2 linked regions of the Saccharomyces cerevisiae S288C genome follow. The protein of the gene in region 1 interacts with the protein of each later gene in a biochemical or structural test. Each region holds a gene or a part of one and is shown in the gene's direction. Other genes may lie near its edges.

Region 1 (17,437 bases):
CGTCATAAAATAAGCATTCAAGCACCACTTTTTGATGTTTTAATGTATTTGCTCATCTCGGCTATATGGTAGAAAGCTTGAAAGTTAAACAGATGTTCATTTTTTCATCCTTACGAATGACCTCTCGTTTATCTAATCTGCTATTACGGTGTACAATAGAAACACACATGTCAAGATATAAACTAACATCCTTATCATAAGAAGAAACTCTGAGCCATCACAATTAGCGGGTAGATTTCTTTTTCCATTAATGTGAGCCAGCACTCTTTATCTTTCGTTATCCTCACTGAAGATATGGTCATCTGTAACGCCCGGATGAAAGAAAGAGAATCGCACTTTCTGTTTGCAATAACATCTTGAAAGTAGTGTTGATGTGAAAGATTGCAAGTATTTCATACCTCAAGTCTTTCTTGCTCCACTTTTTCATGCCAAAATGGGATTTCGTAGATGTTTGTTTATCCACGTCGAATCGTGGCTGTTATTTACTACGTATAGCCTTCCTAGCTTGTAAATAGTTTGAAAATTCCTGACAGAACACTCTTTCTTGCTTTTGCCTATTCTTATGAGCAGCTCTCAGGTACGGACCAGAACGCATAACGATACTTGGTGCTATATTCTCTGAAATATATGATATCTCACACTTAGGGTGCTACACATTTGTCTGAAAACCAACGACGATAAAAGCTATTTAACGTCCATACCAATTTAGCACTATGGGGAAGTGGATGTCTTTTTTTAATCATTTTCATAAATTTTAGGATTTTTTTTTATGAAGTAAACGAATCAAAATTTTTTGTTGATATTCTTTTATTTTTGCGCGAATACAATTACATAAAACTCATCAATTGTTCTCTATTACCTACCCTATTTTTCCCTATCACACGGCCAACGCCGTATACTAACCGTAGTGTGCCATAAAAAGGAATGAACGGGTAAGAACAGGTCATCCCAAACTCGGCGTATTTAATCAGTTCTTCGTGTAATAACACTTTAGGTGAGGGTGATGCTGACAGCGGATGTCAACGGCGAGGCTTGAAAGGATGACAATAAGTTTCTGACTTCGCTAAAGATGTAAATATAGCTTGAGTTATTGACAATAATGGATTAGACAAGAAGATTACATACGTCTCTGATGTTTTACGCAGCGCTGTCATACTCACACGCTTCGGCTCTACTCCTTCAAGTAAAAATCTTTTGTGTATACGTATCTTAAGCTTGGAGTAGAAGCTGTCTCTGGCCTTTTGTACTCGTTTACACGATTACAACTGATCAACAGATCTGGTTTTTTTTTTCAGCTGTTACAGATGGATTTGTAAGCCGAAAGGTATTTTCGTCATCCCCTTATATAAGATGGGAAACGAAGGTAAAAGATTAACGATAGCATCGCATATATAGGATTCCTAATTACTTTTTCGAAGTGCAAGTGGAGTATCGAACATGTCTCTGTCTGTTTACTTCGACTTTTATAGTGGCGAGATAATAAGACTATTTTATTAGCAAGGGATAACTACACATTTATTGAGGCTCCTCTTTATCCTTAAAACGGAACAAGGTTAGCATGTCTTTCAATCTTAAGTTTAAGAGGCCGCCGGACATCTTCATATCAACCCTTTTCCTGCCAGGAGGCAGGCACAATCATTTGTTGTGCATGTAGGGCTAGATTTTTGAAAATTTGGCATTTCGAGCATATGGGCCCCAGAATAAGCTTCAGGCTAGTTTTTTTTTTTTAGCTTCTATTATGTATGCCCGTCAAGATCATTAGTATCGCATGATTTGGTTGATTAACCACAGAATGTTGAGAAATTCTCACAATGGAAGACATATCGGCCTACGGTAAGATTACACTGAGGACCTTATGTAGTCTGATTGCTTCTGTTTACGCAGAGCCCCGCATATTTTGATAGTTTGATATGAAACCTTTACAAATCATTGAGAGTGCGCCGTACTCGTCGAATCGCGGGGAATGTCTTCTATTAACGTGTCCTCTACGGGCCGTCATTCCAAACGGGCAGCTGTAGGCGACTAATGAACCACCTCTGAATGCAAAGGATGTAAACTGTTGGCACAATAATGGGGCTGACGTAGCGTGAAGAAAATATAACTGATATGTTAAAGGAAATACAAAAGATTTCATGACCGCTAACACAACAATACTAAGTTATGAGGGTAGAGATTTTTCGTTACTGTTGCTATAAGAACCCGAATCAAGACCGTTTATCATATATGAACTATTATGATTGGCAAGGCTTTTTCTTAATTCAAGTCACACGTCGAGGTCTCCCTTGGAATTCGTATAAATCACACTAAAAGTTCTGTGGATTCTATTAAATGAAAGCAACGGTTCCGCTTTGGATGCATAGAACCTTCGTGAGTAATTATTTTCCAATTGGAGGAATGGATGTTATCATCAAACGATAACATTCATAGCCAAGAAGTATTTGGGTTTTCTTTTTGTCACATGTAGACTTTGATACTTCTCTGTGCAAGCTATGACAGGTTACAAAGCGCATTGAGTGGCGGGCTGCAAAAAAATGAGGAGATATTTCAATTAACAAGATCTAGTTTCCTAATACGGACCTTTTTCGGAGCGCTAGGATCAAAATTGGATAGCACAAACAGCTTCTCTCTCTCTACGAGCTAAGATCCTCTGAATGGTGCTTGCACATTCTCGTTTGCAGCATATTTACTCCTTTTCGAGTGTGCTAAACCCCAAGTGACCCAGTGTCTACTGACTGGGAAAAAGTGATCTTTCTGTTTGGTAGCGCGTATAGCACGTAGAGTAAAGTTATGTGAATGTCTATTGAACGACGACATCAAATTAACTTTTTTTGCAGTTCTGTCACTTAATCACAGATAATAAGAGCAGAACAATTTAGGCACGGGGAAATTCGATCGATCTGCCCATCCGTAGGCGTTTTCTCCGGAGAAGTTTTTACATGCTGCGCATTTCTTTGGCGGTGAAAAAGACAGTACATCGCGTGCCTTTAAAGATGTCAAAAATTATACGAGATCTGTTTAAGATCTCCATCGTTCAGGAACTGTAAAACAAGAAGCATTGGCAAAGATAGTGATTTTGCTCCAATATATTCGTTTATACAACAGCTGTTTGGTTCGAAAGCCTATAAATGGCCTGTGTAAATGGCTGTATTGAGAGTATGCTCAAACTGAAATAAGTACCAGTTCCTGTCGAATCTGCGATATCCGAAAAACTCCGAAGAAAGCAATGGTTAATATAAGCATCGTAGCAGGAATTGTAGCCTTAGCTACTAGTGCGGCTGCTATTACAGCGACCACTACTTTATCTCCTTACGATGAAAGAGTCAACCTTATTGAATTGGCTGTTTATGTTTCTGACATCAGAGCCCACATATTTCAGTACTACTCTTTCCGGAATCACCATAAGACTGAAACATATCCTTCGGAAATCGCAGCAGCCGTTTTTGACTACGGTGATTTCACTACTCGATTGACCGGTATTTCGGGTGATGAAGTAACTAGAATGATCACTGGTGTTCCGTGGTACTCTACCAGATTAAAGCCGGCTATCTCTTCAGCGCTTTCAAAGGATGGTATTTACACGGCTATCCCAACCTCTACTTCTACAACGACTACAAAATCTAGTACTTCGACTACTCCTACCACCACTATCACTTCTACTACTTCTACCACATCGACTACTCCTACAACCTCTACTACTTCTACCACTCCTACAACTTCTACCACATCGACTACTCCTACAACCTCTACTACTTCTACCACTCCTACAACTTCTACCACATCGACTACTCCTACAACCTCTACTACTTCTACCACTCCTACAACTTCTACCACATCGACTACTCCTACAACCTCTACTACTTCTACCACTCCTACAACTTCTACAACTTCTACCACTCCTACAACTTCTACCACTCCTACAACTTCTACAACCTCCACCACTTCTCAAACTTCCACCAAATCGACTACTCCTACTACTTCAAGCACATCGACTACTCCTACAACTTCTACCACTCCTACAACTTCTACAACCTCTACCGCTCCTACAACTTCTACAACTTCTACAACCTCTACCACTTCTACCATTTCTACCGCTCCCACGACCTCTACAACTTCAAGCACTTTCAGTACTTCTAGTGCCTCTGCATCCTCTGTCATTTCTACCACTGCTACAACCTCTACCACTTTTGCCAGTCTTACTACACCTGCCACATCTACGGCTTCTACTGACCATACAACCTCTAGTGTCTCAACAACTAACGCATTCACTACTTCTGCAACTACTACTACTACGAGCGATACATATATCAGTTCAAGTAGTCCCAGCCAAGTCACTTCATCCGCTGAGCCTACTACTGTCAGTGAAGTCACCTCTTCTGTTGAACCTACCAGGTCTAGTCAAGTCACTTCATCCGCTGAACCTACTACTGTCAGTGAATTCACCTCTTCTGTTGAACCTACCAGGTCTAGTCAAGTCACTTCATCCGCTGAACCTACTACTGTCAGTGAATTCACCTCTTCTGTTGAACCTACCAGGTCTAGTCAAGTCACTTCATCCGCTGAACCTACTACTGTCAGTGAATTCACCTCTTCTGTTGAACCTACCAGGTCTAGTCAAGTCACTTCATCCGCTGAACCTACTACTGTCAGTGAATTCACCTCTTCTGTTGAACCTACCAGGTCTAGTCAAGTCACTTCATCCGCTGAACCTACTACTGTCAGTGAATTCACCTCTTCTGTTGAACCTATCAGGTCTAGTCAAGTCACTTCATCCGCTGAACCTACTACTGTAAGTGAAGTCACCTCTTCTGTTGAACCTATCAGGTCTAGTCAAGTGACCACGACAGAACCTGTTTCTTCCTTCGGGTCTACTTTCAGTGAAATCACCTCTTCTGCTGAACCTCTCTCTTTCAGTAAAGCAACCACTTCCGCAGAATCTATCTCCTCTAATCAAATCACCATTTCCAGTGAACTAATAGTTTCTAGTGTAATTACTTCCTCTTCTGAGATTCCTTCTTCCATTGAAGTACTTACTTCAAGCGGGATCAGTTCATCAGTTGAACCCACTTCTTTGGTTGGACCTTCTTCTGATGAATCCATTTCTTCTACTGAAAGTCTATCTGCCACATCCACTTTCACTTCAGCCGTTGTTTCCTCGAGCAAGGCTGCTGATTTCTTTACCAGATCCACTGTTTCTGCTAAATCTGATGTCTCTGGTAACTCCTCTACCCAATCTACTACCTTTTTTGCTACGCCTTCCACTCCACTTGCTGTTTCTTCAACTGTGGTCACTAGCTCTACCGATTCAGTTTCTCCTAATATTCCCTTCAGTGAAATCAGTTCCTCTCCAGAGTCGTCTACTGCAATTACGTCTACATCCACTAGCTTCATTGCTGAGCGGACTTCTTCCTTATATCTTTCGTCATCAAATATGTCAAGTTTCACTTTAAGTACTTTCACTGTTTCCCAATCGATCGTCTCTTCATTTTCTATGGAACCTACATCGTCAGTCGCATCTTTTGCATCAAGTTCCCCTCTCTTAGTATCCTCAAGAAGTAATTGCAGTGATGCCAGAAGTTCCAACACCATCAGTAGCGGTCTGTTCAGCACGATAGAAAATGTTCGTAATGCAACCTCAACATTTACAAACCTATCAACAGATGAAATTGTCATCACGAGCTGTAAGAGTAGTTGTACTAATGAAGATAGTGTTTTGACGAAAACTCAAGTTTCTACCGTTGAAACTACTATAACTAGTTGTTCGGGTGGTATTTGTACCACGCTGATGTCTCCGGTTACTACTATTAATGCTAAGGCGAACACATTAACAACTACAGAAACTTCCACGGTCGAAACAACTATAACAACATGCCCTGGTGGTGTTTGCTCGACCCTGACTGTTCCAGTTACTACAATCACCAGCGAAGCCACTACCACCGCTACCATTAGTTGCGAAGATAATGAAGAAGATATCACTTCTACTGAAACCGAGTTGCTAACTTTGGAAACTACTATAACTAGTTGTTCGGGTGGTATTTGTACCACGCTGATGTCTCCGGTTACTACTATTAATGCTAAGGCGAACACATTAACAACTACAGAAACTTCCACGGTCGAAACAACTATAACAACATGCTCTGGTGGTGTTTGCTCGACCCTGACTGTTCCAGTTACTACAATCACCAGCGAAGCAACTACCACCGCTACCATTAGTTGCGAAGATAATGAAGAAGATGTCGCCTCTACTAAAACCGAGTTGCTAACTATGGAAACTACTATTACTAGTTGTTCGGGTGGTATTTGCACCACGCTGATGTCTCCGGTTAGTAGTTTCAACTCCAAAGCCACTACATCGAACAATGCAGAGTCGACCATCCCCAAAGCGATTAAAGTCAGTTGCTCTGCGGGTGCCTGTACCACCCTGACTACTGTCGATGCAGGGATTAGCATGTTTACCAGAACCGGATTGTCTATCACTCAAACTACTGTGACCAACTGCTCAGGTGGAACCTGTACCATGTTAACTGCACCAATCGCGACCGCTACCAGCAAAGTCATCTCACCAATTCCAAAAGCCTCCTCGGCTACTTCCATTGCTCATTCATCTGCTTCTTATACTGTCAGTATCAATACCAACGGTGCCTATAATTTCGATAAAGATAACATTTTTGGTACCGCTATCGTTGCTGTTGTCGCTTTATTACTGCTATAGTGATACAATATAATCTTCACAAGCATATAAACAATTGTAAAATAATTTAAATTGACTTGAAAGAAATTTTAAATCTATACTTGATTCATGTAGCACATAATACTACGGTTTGTGAACATACTCCTATACACTTTGAATGGTTTGTATGATATACAGGTATCTAAACATTAGTGTTACCAGTTCGTATATTAACACTAGTTAAATTTGAATCCTCTAAGGTATCGCCAACAAGTAAAATTTTACATTTAATTGAGAAGTTTTTTAATTTTTCTAAGAAAACATTAAAAATATCACAATATGGGCTTCAGCCTAAAATTATGGTTTTTTTTTTCCCTCATCCTTCATTTTATTACCTCCGTTTATTGACGTGTTCGACAACTCACATATGAAGCTTTAAATACTTTGTTCACTGTTAGTTTAAATAAAATTTAGCCTTTAGGTTAAAAATCGTGTCAAAAAAGGAATTCTTCCAAGAACATGAACTAAAGCTCTTCTTAAAATAAAGTTATGTAAGATAGAACTACGCGGCACAAAGATGGAATTGAGAAATAACGCTCCATAAAGTTGACGCTGCTAAATTCTAGGTCACAAGGCATTAGAAATGAGGGCCTTTGAAAAAATTTATTCAAGTAAACTGCTTTCTGAAGAGTTCGCTCTCATCGACATTGGTAGAAGAATAGTGTAGTGTAGTAGCAACCGTTAGTAGTTTATTAATGTCTAAAATTCAGTATAACTAAGAATAGAAGCAAGTATTCTTATACGGTATAGCAGAAACGTATAACTGATGCGGCGATGACGAATGTATTCAAAATGATGGTATTTCAGTGATTTGCTATATTTCCAATGTAATAACTCGCATCCCTACGTATATTAAATTTGAATTAACATTGAATTAATAGATCTTTAACGTAACTTCTTCCGCTAGTTTCGCAGTAGTATCTTGTTTCCTAGCCTGGAGCTATGAAGTATACTGTTTGGTCACTTTATTCAGTTACTATGGTTACTAAAATTATAAACCACCCGTTCCGACAACGACAATGAAGATCTATTTTGCAAATTTGGAACAGAAATAACCATAACCATGAGGTTCGTTATCGTTGACTACATATTACAATCCGAAATGAACATTCGGCCTAGAATGCATTGTACCTTTACAATACTTTGTAAAACATCTTTCAATGTGTATTTTCCTAGCTTAGGTAACACAACTAGGTAACTTATTGGGATGGTTGAGTCTTAAGTGCAGGCCATTTATTATCAATACTGAATCTTGTATGTTTTTGTCAACTCTTGACAGAAAGCTTCAGTCAGCGAAGCAAACTTTCGACCTTCTGTATCATATTTTTCTGCTCTATTTATAGCGAAAGAGAGAAGCCTACAAGAGGATAAGTACTAATCTTGTGATTATTGATTTTCTCCAAAGATTGGGAAAATTACTTAGTTGCACAGCGGAAATGTTTCGATCTCTGACTTTGTAATCGTCAAAATATTCTAGCAGAGCGCAACTTATTTAATTCATACTGTGCGTTCTCCTTGTGGTTTCTAAGACAATCTTTGAGCATGTTTATGGATGCACTTAGGGGTCCTACAAGCCTTCGTATGAAGTTGCCCCTCGCAAGCACACTATAAATTCATGAACAATTGCGCAGTCAAAGTTAGATTGTAAGCCGAATTCAAACGATTTCAACAGTCGTAGCTAACGAGGCCTTTTGTCTCACACCCTTACAAAGGGACTGTAGAATGCAAGGGCAAACAGGCCTGAGGTAACTTTAAAATATAATGTACCTTGAAAACTATGTATACATTGCATTTATTAAGCAGTAGGGTATTTTGTTTGCAAGAAAATAAAGCTCAAAATATCTTTGGAGTTTGACAATAGTATAGAAAAAATAGCTCAGCAACCTTAATAAAAAAAGGGTCATTGGGCAAAGCGTTTTAAAAAGATTTAAGTGGTAGTGTTTAAAGTGAAAGAGATTGATATAGTTAAAAATTGTTGAGCTCAATTCACGCTGGATTCGGCGATCCGTTTTCTTCAATCCTCACGTGCTTTCTTCGTTTGAGTGCAAAAGTTCATATGATGCTATCTCCCGCTTATCTTATTAGTCGAAAATGGGGAGAATTTCCTATTTTATCTGTCGTTTAGCACATATGGCCAGGAAAATACATAAGGTTTCGCCGAACGACGGGGTCAATTCGTCCTTTTTGTACACATCGTTTAATTTATGAGGAAAAATTGATGAATGTATCCTCCGTAGACGCTCCTCTGAAAAGTTTCATGTTTCCTGCGCGTTCCTTTGATAGGCAATAAAACAATACAACGCGTGCCTTTGAAAATGCCAAGATCTATACGAGGCCTCTAACAAAACATCGTTCAGGAACAGAGAATGCTAGAAATGCAAAAGGGTCCCTGGGTACTCATTGAATAGAAATGATTGAAAATACTGCGTATAAAATAGCACGACTAAATGATACTATTTTTATGTCGACACGGTACTATTTCTTCTTTTTCAGATAAAAGTGTAGCATACTAAATATATACCCCAAGTAATGTCTAGAATTAGTATATTAGCTGTCGCCGCAGCATTAGTGGCAAGTGCAACCGCCGCATCCGTGACCACCACTCTATCCCCTTATGATGAAAGGGTCAATTTGATTGAATTGGCTGTTTACGTTTCTGATATTGGCGCCCATTTATCTGAATATTACGCTTTCCAGGCTTTGCATAAGACTGAAACATACCCACCTGAAATTGCCAAGGCTGTTTTTGCCGGTGGCGATTTCACCACCATGTTGACTGGTATTTCAGGTGATGAAGTGACCAGAATGATCACCGGTGTGCCATGGTACTCTACTAGATTGATGGGTGCTATTTCCGAAGCACTTGCGAATGAAGGTATTGCTACTGCAGTACCAGCTTCTACCACAGAGGCTTCTTCCACCTCCACTTCAGAAGCTTCTAGTGCCGCCACTGAGTCTTCTAGCTCCTCTGAAAGTTCAGCAGAGACCAGCTCAAACGCTGCTTCCACCCAAGCTACTGTTTCATCTGAATCTAGCTCTGCTGCAAGCACCATTGCAAGTTCTGCTGAAAGTTCTGTTGCAAGCTCTGTTGCAAGCTCTGTTGCAAGCTCTGCTAGTTTTGCCAATACCACAGCTCCAGTTTCTTCTACATCTTCTATCTCAGTCACTCCAGTGGTCCAAAATGGTACTGACAGCACCGTCACAAAGACTCAAGCTTCCACTGTTGAAACTACCATAACTAGTTGTTCAAATAACGTCTGTTCAACTGTGACTAAGCCAGTCTCCTCCAAAGCTCAATCTACAGCTACTTCTGTCACATCGTCAGCATCTCGTGTTATTGACGTTACCACTAACGGTGCTAACAAGTTCAATAACGGTGTTTTCGGTGCCGCTGCTATTGCTGGTGCCGCCGCTCTATTGTTATAGTGATCATGTGCGGCCCTGTACAGTTGTATAAATGATGTAAAATAATTGAATTCTCTTAATTTTAATATTTATAAGATATATACTATAAGCGTAAGGAAATTCCAAAGAAATTTGTTTTTTAGTTTGCAGTCTTGTGCTCCAACTATTTCCGGTCCTTTTCGAATTTCATGTCAGGAGCATTCCTTATTGCAGACAGCTTAACAGAAAAAAAACTGTGAAAAAAATAAATACCTTTAGATATTAAAGCCCTAAATTGATATCAAATTTTTTCCATATTTGGATTTTGTATTCCTTAAAGCCCACATCCTGTGAACGGTTACGCTCAAATAATGGCCAAGTAACCTACGATCCAATAGCGACGTATATATATCATATAGAAAAAGGTCATCCAGAAAATTTGTGTCAATAAGTATCAGGTCTTTTATATGTATTTATATTATTTTCCGTCAATTTTCAATCTTGCGCCCATAGTTTCAATTTTCTTGTCTGTTGTGATTCCTGATTGGACATTCTGAAATCCTTGTCCAGCTAAAATAAAGTTAGCCAATTCTGGATACTTTTTTCTTACTTGCTTGAAAGCACTATACATGTAGCCATATGGAGGAAGCTCCTCACCTTGAAAATTAGCAATGACTTTTTCGATAAAAGGAGTAGAGATGGTCCTTGCAGGCTTTCCTGATATTATATTAACCATTTTAGTTGTTGTTTCTCGAGTGAAGGGGCTTGAAAAGTTTTTTGATGCATTGGATTCACTGCAACCAAGAAAAGCAGTCCCCACTTGAACAGCGTCTGCTTGCTGTGATAACATGTATGATATATCTTTGGAATCCATTATACCACCTGCTGCAATGACAAAGGGAGTAGCATGTATAAGACCTTTATTTTTCATTTCAGCAAGTTCATCAACTGTTCTTTTCACCAATTGTACAGTTGATAAGTTTTCATCATCTTTGGGGTCATTTACTAAGAAATTTCCTCTATGTCCTCCCGCTTCATAGCCTTGACACACTATGCCATTAATGCCGAGACGTGCTAACAATCGAACTTCTCTTACAGAGGTGGCAGTCACAAAAATTAGAATTCCAATTTTTTGTAAATATTCTATTGTAGATTTCGACGGATGGCCAAAATGGAAACTAATGATTTTAGGCCTAAAGCCATCTGATAGGTACTGGAAAAAATCTTGAAGAGCATTTTCTTTTTCAAATGCCTTAAAAGATACATTACCATTATCGAATTTAATCTCATTCATATCAATCGGCACATTCATAGACTTTCTGTATAGCTTCGCCCAGTTAGCTGTTTGAAGATCGGTCGGTTTATCAACGATATCATGGCAAAAAAAGTTTAGGTTGAGATTGCCCTCTAAAGATTCATCGGCTACTTGATCTCTGAATTGTGAAACCATCAGTTTAAGCTTTTCAATATCATTGACCTTTCTGAAGTCTAAGTGGGATAGGGGTAGTGAAGCTATGGCGCCCGCAATACAAGCCTTAGCGGCCATTTCAATAGTCGTGACCCCCGCCATAGGGGCCTGGATGATAGGGTATCTCAAGTTTAAACATTTTTGGAAAGATCTGCTCATATCTTCTCTTTTATCCACCGACATTACGGAAACGTCTTGAAATATTAGTTGGTTTAAAAAGTACATGAATTGTCTTGAGTTGCTTCTAAGGTATGTATGGGCCCTTTTCTATCCGCGCAAAAGATGTCCTTGATACCGATAGGCCAGCACTAGATGACAAGAAAAAAAACGAAAGGATAATTGCAGGTTTCGACATACATTTTTTATCAGATCACTGCAAAATCCAGGAATTCATATATACAATGTCAAAGGGTATGTTATATTCTGACATGACCCCTTAACTCAGTAGAAAAAACGCTCTAGTTTTATTCTTTTTAACTTTTAATTACTTTACGTAGCAATAGCGATACTTCAGTTCAAATCAGTAACAACCCTTGACCAATTGCCATGCTCAGTCTCGCCATATTGGATTCCATTAATCCATTGTGCAACTTCTTTGGCCAATGGACCGGTTTGTTCGCCGGGCAACAACGGAATATTAATTTGTTCGCCTTTCCAGCCGATTTCCTTAATGGGAGAAACAATCGCAGCAGTACCAGAACCAAAGGCTTCAAGTAGTTCACCGTTCTTGGATCTCTCAGTAACTTCGCCTATAGTGAAGTAGCGTTCACTAATGGTCCATTCACTTGGTTCGAGTCTTTCTTTAGCAAGATTTAAAATGGAATCCCTAGTAACACCTTCCAAAATGGTACCGTCTAGTGGAGCAGTAACTAGTTCCTTCTTGCCCGTTTTACTATCTTTAAACACGAAAAAAGCATTCATGGTGCCGACTTCAGTAATGTTGTTATTTGGACCAAATAGCCATAAATTTTGTTGGTAACCCCTTGAAGCAGCTTGCAATTGTGGCAGGACGCAGGGGGCGTAGTTTGCACCTAGTTTCTTGTCACCACAGCCTCCTGGCCAAGCTCTTGTGGCATAATCAGTGGCTTCCAGTCTGACCGCCTTAAATCCAGTTTTGTAATAAGGACCCACAGGGCAGCAAATGACATATAGCAAGGCTCTATCAGGCGTGGAAACCCCTAAACCGGCCGTAGTGCCGATTAATGTAGGCCTGATATATAAAGAGTAACCTTTTCCTTCAGGAACTAAGCACTTATCTTGCTGGATCAGTTTCCCAATTAGGGTAATCAACTCTTCTGGGTCGAACGTTGGCAAACAGATTCTCTGAGCAGACTTATTCATGCGCTTCATATTCATATCTGGACGAAACATTGTAATTTTGTTGTCCACCGTTCTGTAAGCCTTCATCCCTTCGAATAGCTCAAAAGCATAATGGAAAACCACCGCGGAAGGGTCTAAAGACAGATTTTGATAAGGTTTAATCTCTGGGGTACCCCACCCTTTTTCAGCTGTCCATTCCGCAGTTAACATGTGGTCCGTGAAGCTCTTGCCAAACACTAACTCACTGTTCGGTTTTGGCTTAGATGCATGTTGTGTGGTAGTTATCTTAACTTTGGAGGCGTCTAGGGGTGCCAAGGTCATATCGTTCTTAAAACTCGTGGAGATGCTTTCCCTTAAATTTCTAAAATTTTAGTAGTTAGTCTGTTTTTATTAAGGATTTCTCAAAGGAATGAATTTTTTCCCAGGAAATAGTCGAATATCTTGTAAGCTTATATTAGTTATACTGTCAGCTCATTTCGGATCTCCTCTCACTCACGTACGGCTCTTAATTTCTACCTATTATTTCCGTTTTTGTTGACAGAAAAACGGACATAGAAGAACGACACCAAAAAGAAAAAGAGTCGGATCTACAGATTAGATAACAAGAGGTGTCAGAGAGGGAAAAGAAGCTAAATTAAGTGTCACCCGAAAGCGGAAAAAGAACGCCGTTTGCAAGAATGGTTCCGGGGCCAATGGAACATTAAACTTTGGTGTAGTGCGGTCACAGAAAAAAAAAATCGTACACGTATATAGTGGTATGCTAGGTCGTGAATGACCCTCAGAGGCAGGTTTTCACGTTCGAAGATGTTTGGAAAGGAGCGTTATAAGTTGTGTTGGGGTGAAGGGGCTAACTAGGATGTCACTGAACCCCAACTGCAAAAAATGGTGGAAATAATAGCGAGAGTAGTTGGAGGGAGCAATGCTGGTATCTTGAGGGGAGACGGGTCTGTTAATAATGGCTATTACAGGAAAGCTTGGGAGTAGGTTTCTCAGTCTCTTGAAGTAGATGAGATGTTCTTGTTGCATGTTGGGCGACACGGTGACGAAAAGAAGGTCGTATGCCTCGGGATGCAACTGCGGGTGCCACTGAGTGGCCGTATCCAAAGAGCAGTTCATAAATTCGAACACGCCGGCGAAGCGCATCAAAGGTGTTTCTGACAATTCGGATGCGTTTGGTATTAGTAACAGCAACGAGTAGCGTTTGGGGCGCTTTGGTTGGCGTTGCTGGTGTTGTAGACAAGAGTCCGGGCATACAACCTTTTTGATGGCTTCAAAATTTTCTTGAAGGAAGTTAGCGGTTTGGTAGGCGTGAAACTGGTGGTAGGAGATTGTCTGTAAGCTGGCGTTAATTTCCCTTATAATACGCAGACTATCTGCGTTTGTCGACTTAAGCTCATCAAGATTGCCCTGAAGCCTGTCAACATTTTTCACTAATTTCTCGAAGGAAGGCTTGCCGATGGCCTTGCTTAGAATGGAGTTCACTTTGAAAGGGTCCCAGTGAAAAGTACACTGCTTATTCATATTATTGACGGCGGCGACATTGGGAGTGGCGGCAGACTGATGAGCTTTAACCAGTGAGAGGCTATTAATGTTATCTTTTTGAAAATGAATGTTGGAAAACTCCACGCAGTCCGGGCGGCCCGCCTTCTGGAAGTTATATTTGCTCAATTGCTTAACGAATGCTGCAAAGGTGTGAATACCAAAAAATCGCTCTAGGATGACTTTGGTGAACTGGTCCGGATTCCAAATGACGAGCTTGCTGCCATCAGTCGACCATTGTATTATGTTCGAGTAAGCGTTCCCCTGCAGCAGGTGGTAGAGTTTGCTTACAAAGACATCAGGCTGCTCCATCCTCGATGTTGCATCCATGTCTGACGTGCGTCGCTACACGAAAGAGACACACTTGGCGACTGCCCTGACTGGCAATATATACAGTCCGCAAATGTCGCGGACTGATGCGTCCACTTACTCTTCCTATATACCACCTGGGTGAAGAGGAGAAGTGAGCCCGTTCTGGAGATATATGTCCAAATATTTGCAGATCCAGTTTTGTCATTATAATGAGATGCCTTTTGGGCGACAAAGTTCGGGTAAAAGAAGGACGGGTCCAGGAAGGCCGTGGCCACAGAACAATGCGCAGAGAAGATTTCCGGTTTCTTTTTGGCTTTTCCGACTTTCATCTTTTAGAACTAAAGATTTCCTGCATCGGTAAACCTTAGCAATGTTTCTCTAGAGGGTTTTTGCACACCAGACACGTCGCACGTGCTCTTGCAGAGACTGCTGCGCTTTCGTTTACACTCAGATAACATAGTCTAGCTAGCTTGCTGTCGTTCGGCACGAGATCTAATCCTTCTCCTGGCCTACCGTCTGTGCAACCATTAGTCATGATTACGTGTGTTGCGCCTTATCTTGTCATTATGGCAGCATACTTTTCGTAGTCCTTTCCTGCGCAGCTTGTCCATTTTCGTCATTACGTAAAAAGTCCTAATGGAGAGCTGGGTACTGCATTTTTTCGATGTTTTCAATATTCAGTTCAGCAGGAAATAAACAAATAAACAAACATTAAAATATCCTGGTTTTTTTTCCCAGAGACGCGTGGAAGCACCCATGCATCCACTATTTATTTTTAAACAGCCGTACATTCTGTAATTTTGCTTCCTTTTTCTTCCTGCGTTCTTTTTTTCTTGAACTGTCGTTTTCCGTTATTTTTTTCGGTGACATCAGTTGAAAGTAGCAGCGGCCTAGGCCGGGAGGCCGTGTAGCTCTTTGTAGTCGTGGTAAGGGGGAGTAGCAATTCACTTAGTACGTGGTCTTGGAGTTAGGCTGGCTCGGACTGGCCCTGGCAAGTCCTGTTCTGTGTGGTAGTATTGAAATTTCAGAGATTGTCGGCAATACTAGTATATTAAAAATTATACTATAATTTAATCTAGTGTTGAAATACTTTCTTATATAGCGATTTTTCTGCCCAAAACAAACCAAAGAATCAATACGCAAAGATGGCTAGAGGACCGTATGTTTGACTATAGACTTTGATTATAATTACGCAAGGATGAGAAGAATGATAGACAAGAAACAAGTGGAGTCTTAACCAAACGAATAGGAACAACAATGAACCAGTTTATGTCCATTTAATTTTAGATCATCCTGGGATTGTACAAATATTTTACGAGTAATGATTTACTAACGAGCACAATGAAAAAAATAAAATGTCTGTATCTTCATTATACATTCATTTTTGCCCTTTTTTCTCATTTTTTTCCGTACAGAAAGAAGCATCTAAAAAGATTAGCAGCTCCACACCACTGGTTATTGGACAAGTTGTCCGGTTGTTACGCCCCAAGACCATCTGCTGGTCCACACAAATTGCGTGAATCCTTGCCATTGATTGTCTTTCTAAGAAACAGATTAAAGTATGCTTTGAACGGCCGTGAAGTCAAGGCTATCTTGATGCAACGTCACGTTAAAGTGGACGGTAAGGTTAGAACCGACACTACCTACCCAGCTGGTTTCATGGATGTCATCACTCTAGATGCCACCAATGAAAACTTCAGATTGGTCTACGATGTCAAGGGTAGATTCGCTGTCCACCGTATCACCGATGAAGAAGCTTCTTACAAGTTGGGTAAGGTCAAGAAGGTTCAATTAGGTAAGAAGGGTGTTCCATACGTTGTTACCCACGATGGTAGAACTATCAGATACCCAGACCCAAACATCAAGGTCAATGACACTGTTAAGATCGACTTGGCCTCTGGTAAGATTACTGATTTCATCAAGTTCGATGCCGGTAAGTTGGTTTACGTTACTGGTGGTCGTAACTTGGGTCGTATCGGTACTATCGTTCACAAGGAAAGACACGATGGTGGTTTCGATTTAGTTCACATCAAGGACTCCTTGGACAACACTTTCGTCACTAGATTGAACAATGTCTTCGTCATCGGTGAACAAGGTAAGCCTTACATTTCTTTGCCAAAGGGTAAGGGTATCAAGTTGTCTATTGCTGAAGAACGTGACAGAAGAAGAGCTCAACAAGGTTTATAAATTTCATAACAACTTAATTATTTTCTTCTTTTGTATATCTCCATTAATGTTTATTAGAAATTGAATTTTAAAATAATACATCGTATCTTCCTTTTTCGACTGGCAGTAATATAACGTATAATATATATATTAGGTGTGTGTATATATATCCGTATTGTAATATTGATAGTAAAAATACGCTAACCCTGAAATAGAAGGCGTATGATAAGACGTACTGACACTACGCACTACCACAATATATGCGTATGTGTGTGTGTGTGTGTGTGTGTGTGTGTGTGTGATTGTATTGGAATATATATACTTACTAAAATTAGCTTATATGGTTCGCATATTGACTATTTATAAGGATATTCAACTTGTCTGTCCTTTCTTAACCAAATTTTCTTCTTTCTCTTGGTGGTAACATGTTCCACAAACTTCTCAGTACAATGATCCACTTTGAATTTCTTTATGAAAACAGGGTCCCATAATTCAGAACCGACGCCGAGATCTTTGCAACA
Region 2 (13,628 bases), on another chromosome or scaffold:
GAAAGTGGACATTCGACCCTTAGTTCTTTGAAGAAGAGACCCAATGACCCACCTAAGCCTAAGTGGTTTCTTAAATTTATGGGAATAGTAAATACTATTGTACCGCTGAAATCCTTAACGAGAGGTTTTAAACATATCATTGCAATACCACAGATGAAACTTCTTAGACATATATGCTCTTGATTAACGATTGACTTTAAATAGTTAAACCTTTGGTTGTTTACTATCCCAAATACTGTTGTCCCGCATAATGAGGTGTGCGCATTTAGAATATCATTATACTTTTTCAGCTGTGTTGCAGATACTGACGAGCTGAGGGAAGTTTGATTGGTTAAATAGCCGAAAGGTCTTTTTAAAGTGTTATAGTATATTGATTTGAAAAATGACTGAGTTTGCTTGTGGAAGATTTGTGGTGTCATAGCGGGCAGGTGTAATTTTGCGCTATCATATATCGATTTGGGAAATTTTAATTCTGAGAGATTGATGTCATTGACATCAAACAAAATCCTATCTTCAGAGTGTGTTACTGTGCTGATTTCGTTTAACTCTTTTAAAAATAATTTGTGAAAGTTAGCTGCTGAAAATATATCAAACAATACGTCGTGACCATGAAAAACCAATAGCGCTTCGTCAATTACATATAGTGTCCATAAAGGTTTATTTGATCCGGGAACAAATCTAGTCTTGTTGAAGGCATGACGCAAGAGATAAGGAGGTGGAACACCCCAATGGCAATTGACCTCCTTATCTTTTATGGTTTCAAACTCAATCACATTAACAATATCGGAAGTTTTCAGCTGCTTCAATGGCTCGAATTCCCATTCTTCGTTTACAGTTGCAAACAATGCCGGTTGCGATTTAATCAATCTCTTCAAAGTTGTTGCTATTAGGGGCAGAGTCAGACGAGAATCATCTTTGGAAGAATTTGTTCCGAGCGTGACTTCATCAGAATGCCAGTCAGCGTCATTTTCTCTACTTAAAGATTTTGAATATGTACTCGAAAAAATAGTTCCATTTCTTTGGTCATTCAAAGATTGAGTGAGAATTTTTTTTTCAAAACTTGATAGTGGCCTAAACGTAGTCATTATGATAAAGTGAGGATGTGTCTGTGTTGTGAGTTACAAATGCACTTCTTTGGACAGGTATAACAAGGATAACGTATACACCCTTTTATATATGACCGTCCCCCCATACAAATTTGTGCTCGTATGCCGAGTGTGATCTACTCATCGCTTCGTTAATGAATCGTTTAGCCAAGAATATAGTAAACGTGTAGCAGAGTCATACCCCTGATGGCTGCAGACGCAGGGAATACTCAGCCTCGAAACAGTTTTCAATTTATGTGCGTATGCATGGCTATAATCTTCTATTTCTGTCACCTTTCGTTTATTCTAAACGAATTTGCGACGTTCAACGAAAGCGCGTTGAAAAAATTAATCTCTGAAGTTAAACGGTCGGAAAACAGACAAAAAAGTTGTTGTTATTACTTGTAGAGGAAAGAGCTATTTCATAGCTCGTTTGGGAATGCAGGGGTGACGTCCTTCTTCGGGTGTGTTGTCCTAACTTTCCTTAAACACATTGGGCTATCATACCAGTGAAAAAGAAACATACAATGGTCAGATTCGCTTTATTTGGCTACGAGAATGTGGCGGCTAAGTTCCCTCAACAACTATTCCACCAATCTTGATGGCTTTTCTAAGGCTCTAAGTAGACGTTAAGGTGGCTAAGATTCTAAAATTTTGCCATTTTTCGAGGTTGTGCTTCGCCCTATCCCTTGGAAAACATTTCTAATCATCTTAAATTCTGTGATTGAGAACGTTTTAACGTTATCTTAAACGTTTCCATAGAAGAACGAACGTGAAGGTTTGTAGCTCGTTAAAAGGCGATCTTGAATGATGTGAAGAAGTGTAAAAGGCTTAGGAAAGTTGCTTGTTGACCCGGTGTCGTTCAATATACTCCTATTACCCAAATGGCAGTTTCATAGAGTGATATTATTTCGTTGCCTTGTGTAAGTTAGAAGTACTTCTTGTCGATTGTGAATTCGGATAGCCGCTAGAACGCCAATCATTGCGGAGGTTTGCCATCGCATGGATACCATAGCCATCTGCACATTCTAATATAGATTATATTACTTTAGACCATGTCATTTCATAATCGTTGGTTTAAGCGGTGTTGTTTCCACAGTTTGTATGAGAACTTTTGTCCAAAGTAAAGTATCAGTAACGTAATCTGAGCAAACCTACATTAAATCGTAACTCCGCGAGATTCTTTTGTTCAGGTGGATCAGCGGCGTGGTTTACTTCCGATTTGCTCATCGTGCGCATAGCAGCATTTATTCCTCTAATTCGCTCGATAATCAACCTTTCCGCACTACGACGGTGGCAATAGTTGGACCTTAAGATATGCCTATCTGAATACAATTCTTCAACTCACATCAGTGGGACACTAAATAAAGCATATGGTATGAAATACTATGAATTATTGAATTATTGGCAGACACAGCAGCGACAAGTCAGAGTGCTTACAAAAAAAAAAGAGTTGATCCGGCTAAAGAAAGTCTGATTTACGTATTTATCCAGGTTCAAACGGATTGCCAAAAATAGTCGATAACCTCGGAGTAAGCAAAGCAACAATATATTTGTTCTTCGAAAAGGTAAACTTCTTAACTTCTATAGAAGCATTGTACTAGTTCTCTCGAAGAAAAAAACTAAGAAAGCTATAGCTGTATCTTACCAAGCCATGAACTTGAGGAATTGGTAATCCTTATTAGGAAATACGCTAAACTAGGTAATAGCAGATGATTTACTAGCTTACTATCTCACACTAAGTCTGGCAACGCGCTTATTTTTTAATACTTTTATACGAACCAATGAAATTTGATCCTCCCCTTTTTCGTCTAGTTAAATGAAGAGATACAAGTAGGCCTTTCTATTGAGTACTTAGCAAGATATGTATTTCTAAGAAACATCAACAGTTTCAGCCCACAACCGATTCATAAAATGTCTGCCTGGAGGAAAGCTGGTATATCATATGCTGCATATTTGAATGTGGCCGCTCAGGCTATCCGTTCTTCATTGAAAACTGAATTACAAACCGCTAGTGTTCTTAACAGATCGCAAACAGATGCTTTTTATACCCAATATAAAAATGGCACTGCAGCTTCTGAACCCACTCCAATAACAAAATAGTTTAACGCTTCCTGGGAACTGCAGCTCTTTTTTTACTCGCTGATATACATTTTAAATATTCTAGCAACTGTGTATGAAAACTTACGTACTTTTATACGGGAAACTAATAATGACTACAATGATATTGAATACTGGCCGCTTCGAAGAGTGGTATAAAGTTTGTATCATTGCATTAAAAGAAAAAGAAATATATGTCCCATCATCGCCAATCGCAATGTTGAATGGTCGTTTACCACTTTTGCGGCTGGGCATATGCAGAAACATGCTGTCCCGTCCCCGACTGGCTAAACTGCCATCTATAAGGTTTCGGTCTTTGGTCACCCCTTCTTCATCGCAGCTCATTCCTCTCAGTCGGTTGTGTTTAAGGTCACCTGCAGTTGGAAAATCACTAATTTTACAAAGTTTTAGATGTAATTCATCCAAAACAGTTCCAGAAACTTCTCTGCCTTCAGCCTCTCCCATATCTAAAGGATCAGCAAGGTCGGCACATGCAAAGGAGCAATCTAAAACTGATGACTATAAAGATATAATAAGGTTATTTATGTTGGCGAAACGGGATTGGAAACTGCTTCTTACAGCCATACTTCTTTTAACCATATCATGTTCCATAGGCATGTCTATTCCTAAAGTCATAGGTATTGTCCTTGACACACTTAAGACGTCATCTGGATCAGATTTTTTTGATTTGAAGATACCGATTTTTTCTTTGCCTTTATATGAGTTTCTTTCCTTTTTTACTGTTGCTTTACTGATTGGTTGTGCTGCTAATTTTGGTAGATTTATATTATTGAGGATACTAAGTGAGCGTGTTGTTGCACGCCTAAGGGCAAATGTCATTAAAAAAACGCTTCATCAAGACGCAGAATTCTTCGACAACCATAAAGTTGGGGATTTAATTTCTCGTTTAGGATCTGATGCTTATGTTGTTTCAAGATCAATGACCCAGAAGGTCTCGGATGGGGTCAAAGCCCTAATTTGTGGGGTTGTTGGCGTGGGGATGATGTGTTCTTTGTCACCTCAACTATCAATATTGTTACTATTCTTCACTCCACCTGTTCTTTTTAGTGCCTCAGTGTTCGGGAAGCAAATTAGAAACACCTCTAAAGACCTTCAAGAAGCTACTGGTCAATTGACTAGAGTCGCTGAAGAACAACTCTCTGGTATCAAGACGGTTCAGTCGTTTGTTGCTGAAGGTAATGAATTGTCTAGGTATAACGTTGCAATTAGAGATATTTTTCAGGTGGGAAAAACTGCGGCATTTACAAACGCAAAGTTTTTTACTACAACTAGTCTCTTAGGTGACCTAAGTTTTTTAACCGTCCTTGCGTATGGCTCCTATCTTGTTTTACAATCACAGCTCTCCATTGGTGATCTGACTGCATTTATGCTGTACACAGAATATACGGGGAATGCGGTATTCGGCCTTTCTACCTTCTATTCGGAAATTATGCAGGGTGCTGGGGCCGCTTCCAGGTTGTTTGAATTAACAGATAGGAAACCTTCCATTTCACCGACTGTGGGACACAAGTATAAACCAGATCGTGGTGTTATCGAATTTAAAGATGTTTCATTTAGCTACCCTACAAGGCCTTCTGTTCAAATATTCAAGAATTTAAATTTTAAAATTGCGCCAGGATCGAGTGTTTGTATTGTGGGCCCTTCAGGTCGTGGTAAATCTACAATTGCACTCTTACTGCTAAGATATTATAATCCCACTACTGGGACTATTACGATAGATAACCAAGATATCTCTAAATTGAATTGTAAATCCCTAAGAAGGCATATTGGTATCGTTCAGCAAGAGCCGGTACTGATGTCAGGTACTATTAGGGATAATATCACTTATGGGTTGACATATACCCCAACAAAGGAAGAAATCAGGTCAGTAGCAAAGCAGTGCTTTTGCCATAACTTTATCACAAAATTTCCGAACACATACGATACGGTAATTGGTCCTCACGGCACCTTACTAAGTGGAGGACAAAAGCAGCGTATTGCGATTGCAAGGGCTCTAATCAAAAAGCCAACTATTTTGATTCTTGATGAAGCTACATCAGCTTTAGATGTTGAAAGTGAAGGAGCCATTAACTATACGTTTGGTCAACTAATGAAATCAAAATCGATGACTATTGTTAGCATCGCGCACAGGCTAAGTACGATCAGAAGATCAGAGAATGTTATTGTCCTTGGCCATGATGGATCAGTGGTAGAAATGGGCAAATTCAAAGAATTGTATGCGAATCCAACAAGTGCTTTATCGCAATTACTTAATGAGAAAGCGGCTCCTGGGCCATCTGACCAACAACTGCAAATAGAGAAGGTCATCGAAAAGGAAGATTTGAATGAGAGTAAGGAGCATGATGACCAGAAAAAGGACGATAATGACGATAATGATAATAATCATGATAACGACAGCAATAACCAGTCTCCAGAGACGAAAGACAATAATTCAGATGATATTGAAAAATCTGTCGAACATCTCCTGAAAGACGCGGCAAAGGAGGCTAATCCAATTAAGATCACACCACAACCGTGAGTCATCCGCATCGCATATACCCATTCTTATCTCGCACATTTAAATATATACTATATATAATACTGTTAAATGCCAAATAAAAAGGATTTTCATTACCCGAATCGATACTTTTGGTAGCATAAACAAATAACATTGAAACAATAACAAAGTGTAATGTGGCCGCACGAATCTTTGTCTGTAACAGCCTTAAAGATTTCAGTAGCACTGCCATGGATAATGATGGACCCAGATCTATGACCATTGGGGATGACTTCCAAGAGAACTTTTGTGAACGTTTAGAAAGAATTCACAATACATTACATTCAATAAACGATTGCAACTCATTGAATGAGAGTACCACAAGTATATCAGAGACATTGTTAGTTCAATTTTATGATGATTTGGAGAACGTTGCCTCGGTAATTCCCGACTTAGTCAACAAGAAAAGACTGGGAAAAGACGATATTTTGTTGTTTATGGACTGGTTATTATTGAAAAAATATATGCTATATCAATTTATTAGTGACGTTCATAATATTGAGGAAGGTTTTGCTCATTTGTTGGATTTACTAGAGGATGAATTCTCGAAGGACGATCAGGATAGCGACAAATACAATCGATTTAGCCCGATGTTTGACGTCATAGAAGAATCTACACAAATTAAGACTCAGTTGGAGCCATGGCTTACTAACTTGAAGGAATTATTGGATACGTCATTGGAATTTAACGAAATTTCAAAGGATCATATGGATACATTACATAAAATCATTAATAGCAATATATCGTATTGTCTGGAAATTCAGGAAGAAAGGTTCGCGTCCCCGATACGGCATACTCCATCATTTACCCTAGAACAACTAGTCAAGTTATTAGGAACGCATACGGAGACAACTGAGCCAAAGGTACCAAAATTTTCTCCGGCAGAAGATATTTTATCAAGAAAGTTCTTGAACCTAAAAAAAAATATCCCTCCAATTGAAAAAAGTTTGACTGATATCCTACCTCAAAGAATTGTGCAATTTGGGCACCGGAATATAACAAACATAACTACTTTGCAAACAATCTTGCAAAAAAAATACGAGCTGATAATGAAAGATTATAGATTTATGAATTCAGAGTTTAGGGAATTGAAAGTCGAACTAATCGACAAACGTTGGAATATACTCTTTATTAATTTAAATCATGAACTATTATACATTCTTGATGAGATAGAAAGGTTGCAGTCGAAATTACTGACAACAAAGTATACCAAAGATATCACTATAAGGCTCGAGAGGCAATTGGAGAGAAAATCAAAAACTGTTTCTAAGACATTCAATATTATTTACAGAGCATTGGAATTCTCACTTTTGGACGCTGGCGTCGCATCGAAGACAAATGAATTAGCTCAAAGATGGCTGAATATCAAGCCTACAGCGGATAAAATTCTAATCAAATCCTCCGCTTCAAACAAAATAGCTACTAGCAAGAAGAAGATTCCAAAACCGAAATCATTAGGCTTTGGGCGACCGAATAGTGTTATTGGAACTATAACCCAGGATTTCCAGGAGAGAGTCGCCATTAATGAAGGTGACAGTAATAAAACACCGGAAAATTCAACTACAGTGGCTTTGAAAGGTAAAAAGCTTGGTAAAGCGTTACTGCAGAAGATGAATATTAAACCTGCAACAAGCCCAAATTCATCAAATGCGATTAATCCATTTTTTGATCCGGAGTCGCCAAACAAAGGAAAACTGATACTAAGTAGTGTTCCTCCCTTACCTTATGACGAAACCGATGAAACCACCCTCCGTGTTTCTCGTGGGGAAAATGAAAAGTCACCAGACTCCTTCATTACATCTCGGCATGAAAATAAAGTACAGATTACAGAAACTCCTTTGATGGCAAAGAATAAGTCTGTGCTTGACATCGAAAAAGATAAATGGAATCATTACCGGTCCTTGCCCTCTAGGATCCCTATATACAAGGATAAAGTGGTGAAAGTCACCGTAGAAAACACACCGATAGCAAAGGTTTTCCAGACTCCGCCAACAAAAATCACGACACCTAATAGTCAAGTTTGGGTCCCTTCGACAAGAAGAAGAACCCGATTGAGGCCTCCCACCCCCTTATCACAGTTACTTTCACCAAGAGAAGGGCGTTTAGATAAAACCCCAACTTATTGATACTAACCTAAAACTGTATACTTATACATTTTTATATATCCTCCCTCTCACCCTCTCCATTCATAGAATTTGTAATACTAGTTTAAATAATGTAATATTATGTGTAATTTTAAATAGTCCATGAAGATTCCGCACGTTTTCATTTTACAGTTTTTGACACCTTTACCCGACGCTTTATAAAAAAAATAGTATAAGCATCACGACATAAGCAGCCTCAGGTCATTAAAACAATAAAAGACTGGGAATTATAAACGTACAACGGTAAGGTCATTCACGCAGTGTATATGAATGACTGAAAGTGCTATAGATGACCAAAGGTTTAATCTTACAAAGGAGTTACAACGACACTCATGCAGAGATCAAGGGAAAATAACACAAAAGGATGATGCTTTAGATTTTATAAGTTACAGTTCTTTTCAATCCTCTTTTAATACTGACCAAAAAAGCGCGAACAATGGAAGTACTGTGAGAAGAAGCATAAGGTCGATTTTTAGAAGAGCAGCCGAATTGCCTAGAGTCCATATGGGGCCTCTTACTTATTCACATGGGATAAATGAGCTTGTTAACAAGAAATTAAGAAAAGACTGTGATCTCAGCACGCTATGTCGCGTATTGCAAAGAGGAATCAGGATGATTAGGATGACAAGAAGAAGAAGGAAGTTCTATGAATTTAAATTAATCAATAACAACGGGCAAATAATATGGAAAGATGGTTCGAAGTATCTGGAATTAGACTCCGTTAAAGACATCAGAATCGGTGATACGGCGAGTACTTATCAAGAGGAAGTAGATCCGAAAAGATTGAGATCGGACAGTAAACTTTGGATTGCTATTATTTATAAGGTTTCCAACAAATTGAAAGCGTTACACGTAGTTGCTTTGAATGAATTGGACTTTAACACATTCTTAAGCTGCATTTGCGGTTTAGTGAAGTTAAGGAGGGAATTAATGGAAAGCATACTTTTGCCTGATAATTCGCAATTCGCTAGGATACATTGGCAAATTACTGTTTCTGAAAAAGAGGAAGATGAGAAAAAGGACACATTGAGCTTTGCAGATGTGAAGAAACTATGTGATAAATTTCATATTTATGTGTCAACTGGTCAATTGTTAGAGTTTTTCCAATTAGCAGACATCAATCATAACGGACTATTAAATTATTTTGAATTTGAAAAGTTCATTAAAATCTTAAAGAATAGGAAAGAGGTAAATATGATTTGGTCTAAATTTACAAAACCTCCACACTCCCACTTATCATTTGAAAATTTTTTTCAATTTTTAATTACAGAGCAGCATGAGCAAGTGGATCGTCAAACTGCATGGTCATATTTTATTAAGTACAGAGAACCGACTCAGCTGACGATGGGGCAAGATGGTTTTACCAAGTTCTTGAAGGAGCAACCATATTTGGTGGAGGTTAAAGAGGAGTTATATTCAAAGCCATTAAACCATTATTTTATTGCATCTTCACATAATACTTATTTATTGGGGAAACAAATTGCAGAAACTCCATCTGTGGAGGGATATATTCAAGTCCTACAACAAGGTTGTAGGTGCGTAGAAATTGATATATGGGATGGTGAAAATGGGCCAGTGGTATGCCATGGATTTTTAACGTCAGCTATTCCCTTAAAAACAGTTATACGCGTGATAAAGAAGTACGCTTTTATAACGTCTCCGTATCCTTTGATTATTTCACTGGAAATAAACTGTAACAAGGATAATCAAAAATTGGCAAGCCTGATAATGAGAGAGGTTTTAGCAGAACAGCTGTACTTTGTTGGCACAAGAACTGATAAACTGCCATCACCAAGGGAATTAAAACATAAAATACTGTTGAAATCCAAGAAGACGAGTGAAGCAACTAGAGGTCTTAGCGTTAATGAGCCATTTCCATCTTCTTTTAGTTCTTCTTACGAATCAGCTAATGAACAGGAATTAAGAATGAAAGATGACTCCACGAACAGTAGTAGCGCAACAAATTCTTCTAGTATGCAACGCATCAAAAGAATTGGATTAAAAAAGCACGCTGATATAATTAATGATGTTTCTAACATTTCTGGAATACATGGCATCAAGTTCAGGAATTTCTCTTTACCAGAGTCCAAAACGATAGCGCATTGTTTTTCACTGAATGAGCGCAAAGTAGAATACATGATAAAAGACAAACACTTAAAATTATCGTTGGATAAACATAATAGAAGATATTTGATGAGAGTCTATCCTCACGTTTTACGATACAAATCATCAAATTTTAACCCAATACCTTTTTGGAAGGCCGGTGTACAAATGGTGGCTACGAATTGGCAAACTAATGATATTGGACAGCAACTTAATCTGGCAATGTTTCAAATATTAGATCACCAACCTGATGGAAGTTTTAAATCAGGATACGTGCTAAAACCAAAAAAGTTGCTACCTGTAGTAACAAAGGCGAAAATGATTCCATTAATTTACGAACATTTTGAAAATGGTAGTGATCCTGTTACTGTTAAAATTCGAATTTTATCTACACAGTTATTGCCCAGATTGAATGATACATCGCCAAGCAGAAATAACACCAATTCCTTTGTTAAAGTGGAGTTTCATACCGATGACGAGCCGACAATGCCCATCTCAATCGATAAGGGTACAAGGATTTCTGCCACTGAAGCATCCACTAAGAGTTCTCAAGGGAATGGATTCAACCCAATATGGGATGCTGAAGTTTCTATCACATTGAAAGATACAGACCTCACATTTATAAAATTCATGGTTATCTCTGAAGAGACCCAGATTGCATCTGTTTGCCTTAAGCTGAACTATTTGAGGATGGGATATCGTCACATTCCGTTGTTTAACATGGAGGGGGAACAATACATATTTTGCACTTTATTTATTCATACACAAATTTTATAGGCGATCTTTTTCCGGCCAAATACACATATTCATAAATACGTACATATACCTACTTGCATATACCAACATGATTACCTAGAATGGATATATCAAATGGGACGACGAAGTACCACGACAATACACAATAACAACTTCTGTTTTTCGCTGATTGCCTTCTCTTCAGCAGAAAGTTGATGCATATTTCGCGTAGCGCGTTGACGCGTCTTCTTTCTGAAGTTTTGTGCTTTTGTTATCATACTATATAAAGTAAAAAGAAAGGAGAACATATTAAGCATTACTGAATTAGGATCCTTTGGAAGAAATAAAGTAAGAGACACTGAAAGATGATATCACCATCAAAAAAGAGAACCATTTTATCAAGCAAGAATATAAACCAAAAACCACGAGCAGTGGTAAAAGGCAATGAACTTCGTTCACCATCAAAGAGAAGGTCACAAATAGACACAGACTATGCACTAAGGCGAAGTCCAATAAAGACAATCCAAATTTCTAAAGCTGCACAATTTATGCTGTATGAGGAAACGGCTGAAGAAAGAAACATAGCTGTCCACAGACATAATGAAATATACAATAATAACAATTCTGTGAGCAATGAGAATAATCCTTCCCAAGTAAAAGAAAACCTTTCACCCGCTAAAATTTGCCCTTATGAAAGAGCATTTTTAAGGGAAGGAGGAAGAATTGCATTGAAGGACTTAAGTGTTGACGAATTCAAAGGTTACATACAGGATCCTCTCACCGATGAGACTATACCACTGACGTTGCCACTGGGTGATAAAAAAATCAGCCTACCCAGTTTTATAACGCCGCCAAGAAATTCGAAGATATCTATTTTCTTCACTAGTAAACACCAAGGACAGAACCCAGAGACAAAGATATCCCGTTCTACCGATGACGTCAGTGAAAAAAAAGTAGTGAGAAAACTGTCCTTCCACGTCTATGAAGATGAGTAAATAATGTACACAGTTAGCGTCTAATAATTAATTAACGATACCAATTTAATTCATTCACGTATTCCTCACCTCGTGTGTAAATTACTAACAGAGTAGTAATAATAATAAGAATCAATAATAATAATAAATCCATCCTTGTGTATTACCCGGGTTAGAGGGTAGAAAAATTTTTGAAAATCGCGATGAGCTGAAAATTGAAAATATTTGGTTATAACATAAGATCGATAAATTAGGAACAGTGCATTATACAGTGGACTCATTCGGTTAGAAGCTTTAGACGTCGTACCTTTTATATCGATACAAATAAAAATAAAATTATACCATGGGAAAGGCTGCGAAAAAGAAGTACTCCGGAGCAACTTCGTCCAAACAAGTCTCTGCCGAGAAACATTTGAGTTCAGTATTTAAATTCAACACAGATCTAGGTCAGCATATTTTGAAAAATCCTTTGGTGGCGCAAGGTATTGTTGATAAGGCACAGATTAGACCCTCAGATGTTGTTTTGGAGGTTGGTCCTGGTACAGGTAACCTAACTGTAAGGATCCTCGAACAAGCAAAAAACGTAGTGGCAGTAGAAATGGATCCCAGAATGGCTGCAGAATTAACTAAGAGGGTACGTGGCACACCTGTGGAGAAAAAGTTAGAAATCATGCTTGGAGATTTTATGAAGACTGAATTACCATACTTTGATATCTGTATTAGTAACACTCCTTACCAGATCTCATCGCCTCTGGTTTTCAAATTAATTAACCAACCAAGACCACCAAGAGTATCTATTCTTATGTTTCAAAGAGAGTTTGCTTTAAGATTACTGGCAAGACCAGGTGACTCATTATACTGTAGATTATCCGCCAATGTACAAATGTGGGCTAATGTTACACACATCATGAAAGTGGGTAAGAATAACTTCAGACCGCCACCACAAGTGGAATCCAGCGTTGTTAGACTAGAGATTAAAAATCCAAGACCGCAAGTGGATTACAACGAATGGGATGGTTTGTTGAGAATCGTCTTTGTGAGGAAAAACAGAACGATTTCAGCTGGCTTCAAATCGACCACCGTGATGGACATTCTGGAGAAGAATTATAAGACATTTTTGGCGATGAACAACGAAATGGTGGATGATACAAAGGGTTCTATGCACGATGTCGTCAAGGAAAAGATTGACACAGTTCTGAAGGAGACCGACTTAGGCGACAAAAGAGCGGGTAAATGTGATCAAAATGATTTCCTAAGGCTATTATATGCTTTTCACCAGGTTGGTATCCATTTTTCATGAGCTCTCTTATCAATTATGTAAGTGCTTGTATACTATTTACCTAAGATAAGAAAAAAAAAAGCAATTCAAAATTAAGCTTATCTTGACAGCGGGGCTGGTTTGTTTCTAGAAGACAAAAAGTGGGGAATCATTTTTACGTAACTCCCCCTGATAAGAAGGACTCACATCCTTATAGGTACGATAAAGAATGGTTGTATCTTTCCTATTTTTCGAAATCGTTATCTTATATAGTTGAACTACTACGGTTAAAAAGCTTAAGCCTCAGCCCTCTTAGTCAAACTTCTTTTTTGAAGGCACCAGGGTGCATAAAAGTGCGTCTATTGTTTCCCAGTGGAACTCTGTTGAGATAGCGATGTTTGTTTTTTTTTCACTTAACGGCAACCAATACCGATAGCGACGTCGCTGGCAGTGTAGAGTGGCCGTACGGCGTCGCTAGATGGCACGGCACTGATTGCGGCGGGAGTCGCTAGGCGGTGATGCATTTCCGCACAGGGACCAGAGGAAGCTTCCCAGGCGGTGACAGTAAGTGAACTCATTATCATGTCTTCTCCAAAACATTCGTGACATCTAGTCATGCTCCTCGCAATTCACTCCGATTGGTATAGCTTTTTCGGTAGTTTTAGCTACTAT

The links.
Region 2: the proteins of RPS4A (region 1) and DIM1 are reported together in a solved structure, tested with the Saccharomyces cerevisiae proteins (one study listed by BioGRID).

What each region holds. Positions count from the first base shown.
Region 1 is NC_001142.9:701,527-718,963, reverse strand, and holds RPS4A (40S ribosomal protein eS4 RPS4A), read left to right. Parts: upstream 1-15,895; coding exon 15,896-15,909; intron 15,910-16,165; coding exon 16,166-16,937; downstream 16,938-17,437. Other genes in the region: DAN4 (Dan4p), read left to right, coding at 3,224-6,709; DAN1 (Dan1p), read left to right, coding at 9,257-10,153; YJR149W (putative nitronate monooxygenase), read right to left, coding at 10,590-11,804; branched-chain-amino-acid transaminase BAT2, read right to left, coding at 12,090-13,220; HMS2 (Hms2p), read right to left, coding at 13,692-14,768; YJR146W (uncharacterized protein), read right to left, coding at 14,726-15,079; MGM101 (Mgm101p), read right to left, coding at 17,273-17,437.
Region 2 is NC_001148.4:27,080-40,707, forward strand, and holds DIM1 (putative dimethyladenosine transferase), read left to right. Parts: upstream 1-12,041; coding exon 12,042-12,998; downstream 12,999-13,628. Other genes in the region: PBI1 (Pbi1p), read right to left, coding at 1-1,085; ATP15 (F1F0 ATP synthase subunit epsilon), read left to right, coding at 3,000-3,188; ATP-binding cassette permease MDL2, read left to right, coding at 3,403-5,724; KAR9 (Kar9p), read left to right, coding at 5,934-7,868; PLC1 (phosphatidylinositol phospholipase C), read left to right, coding at 8,157-10,766; ACM1 (Acm1p), read left to right, coding at 11,090-11,719. UniProt on the Saccharomyces cerevisiae protein: Specifically dimethylates two adjacent adenosines in the loop of a conserved hairpin near the 3'-end of 18S rRNA in the 40S particle.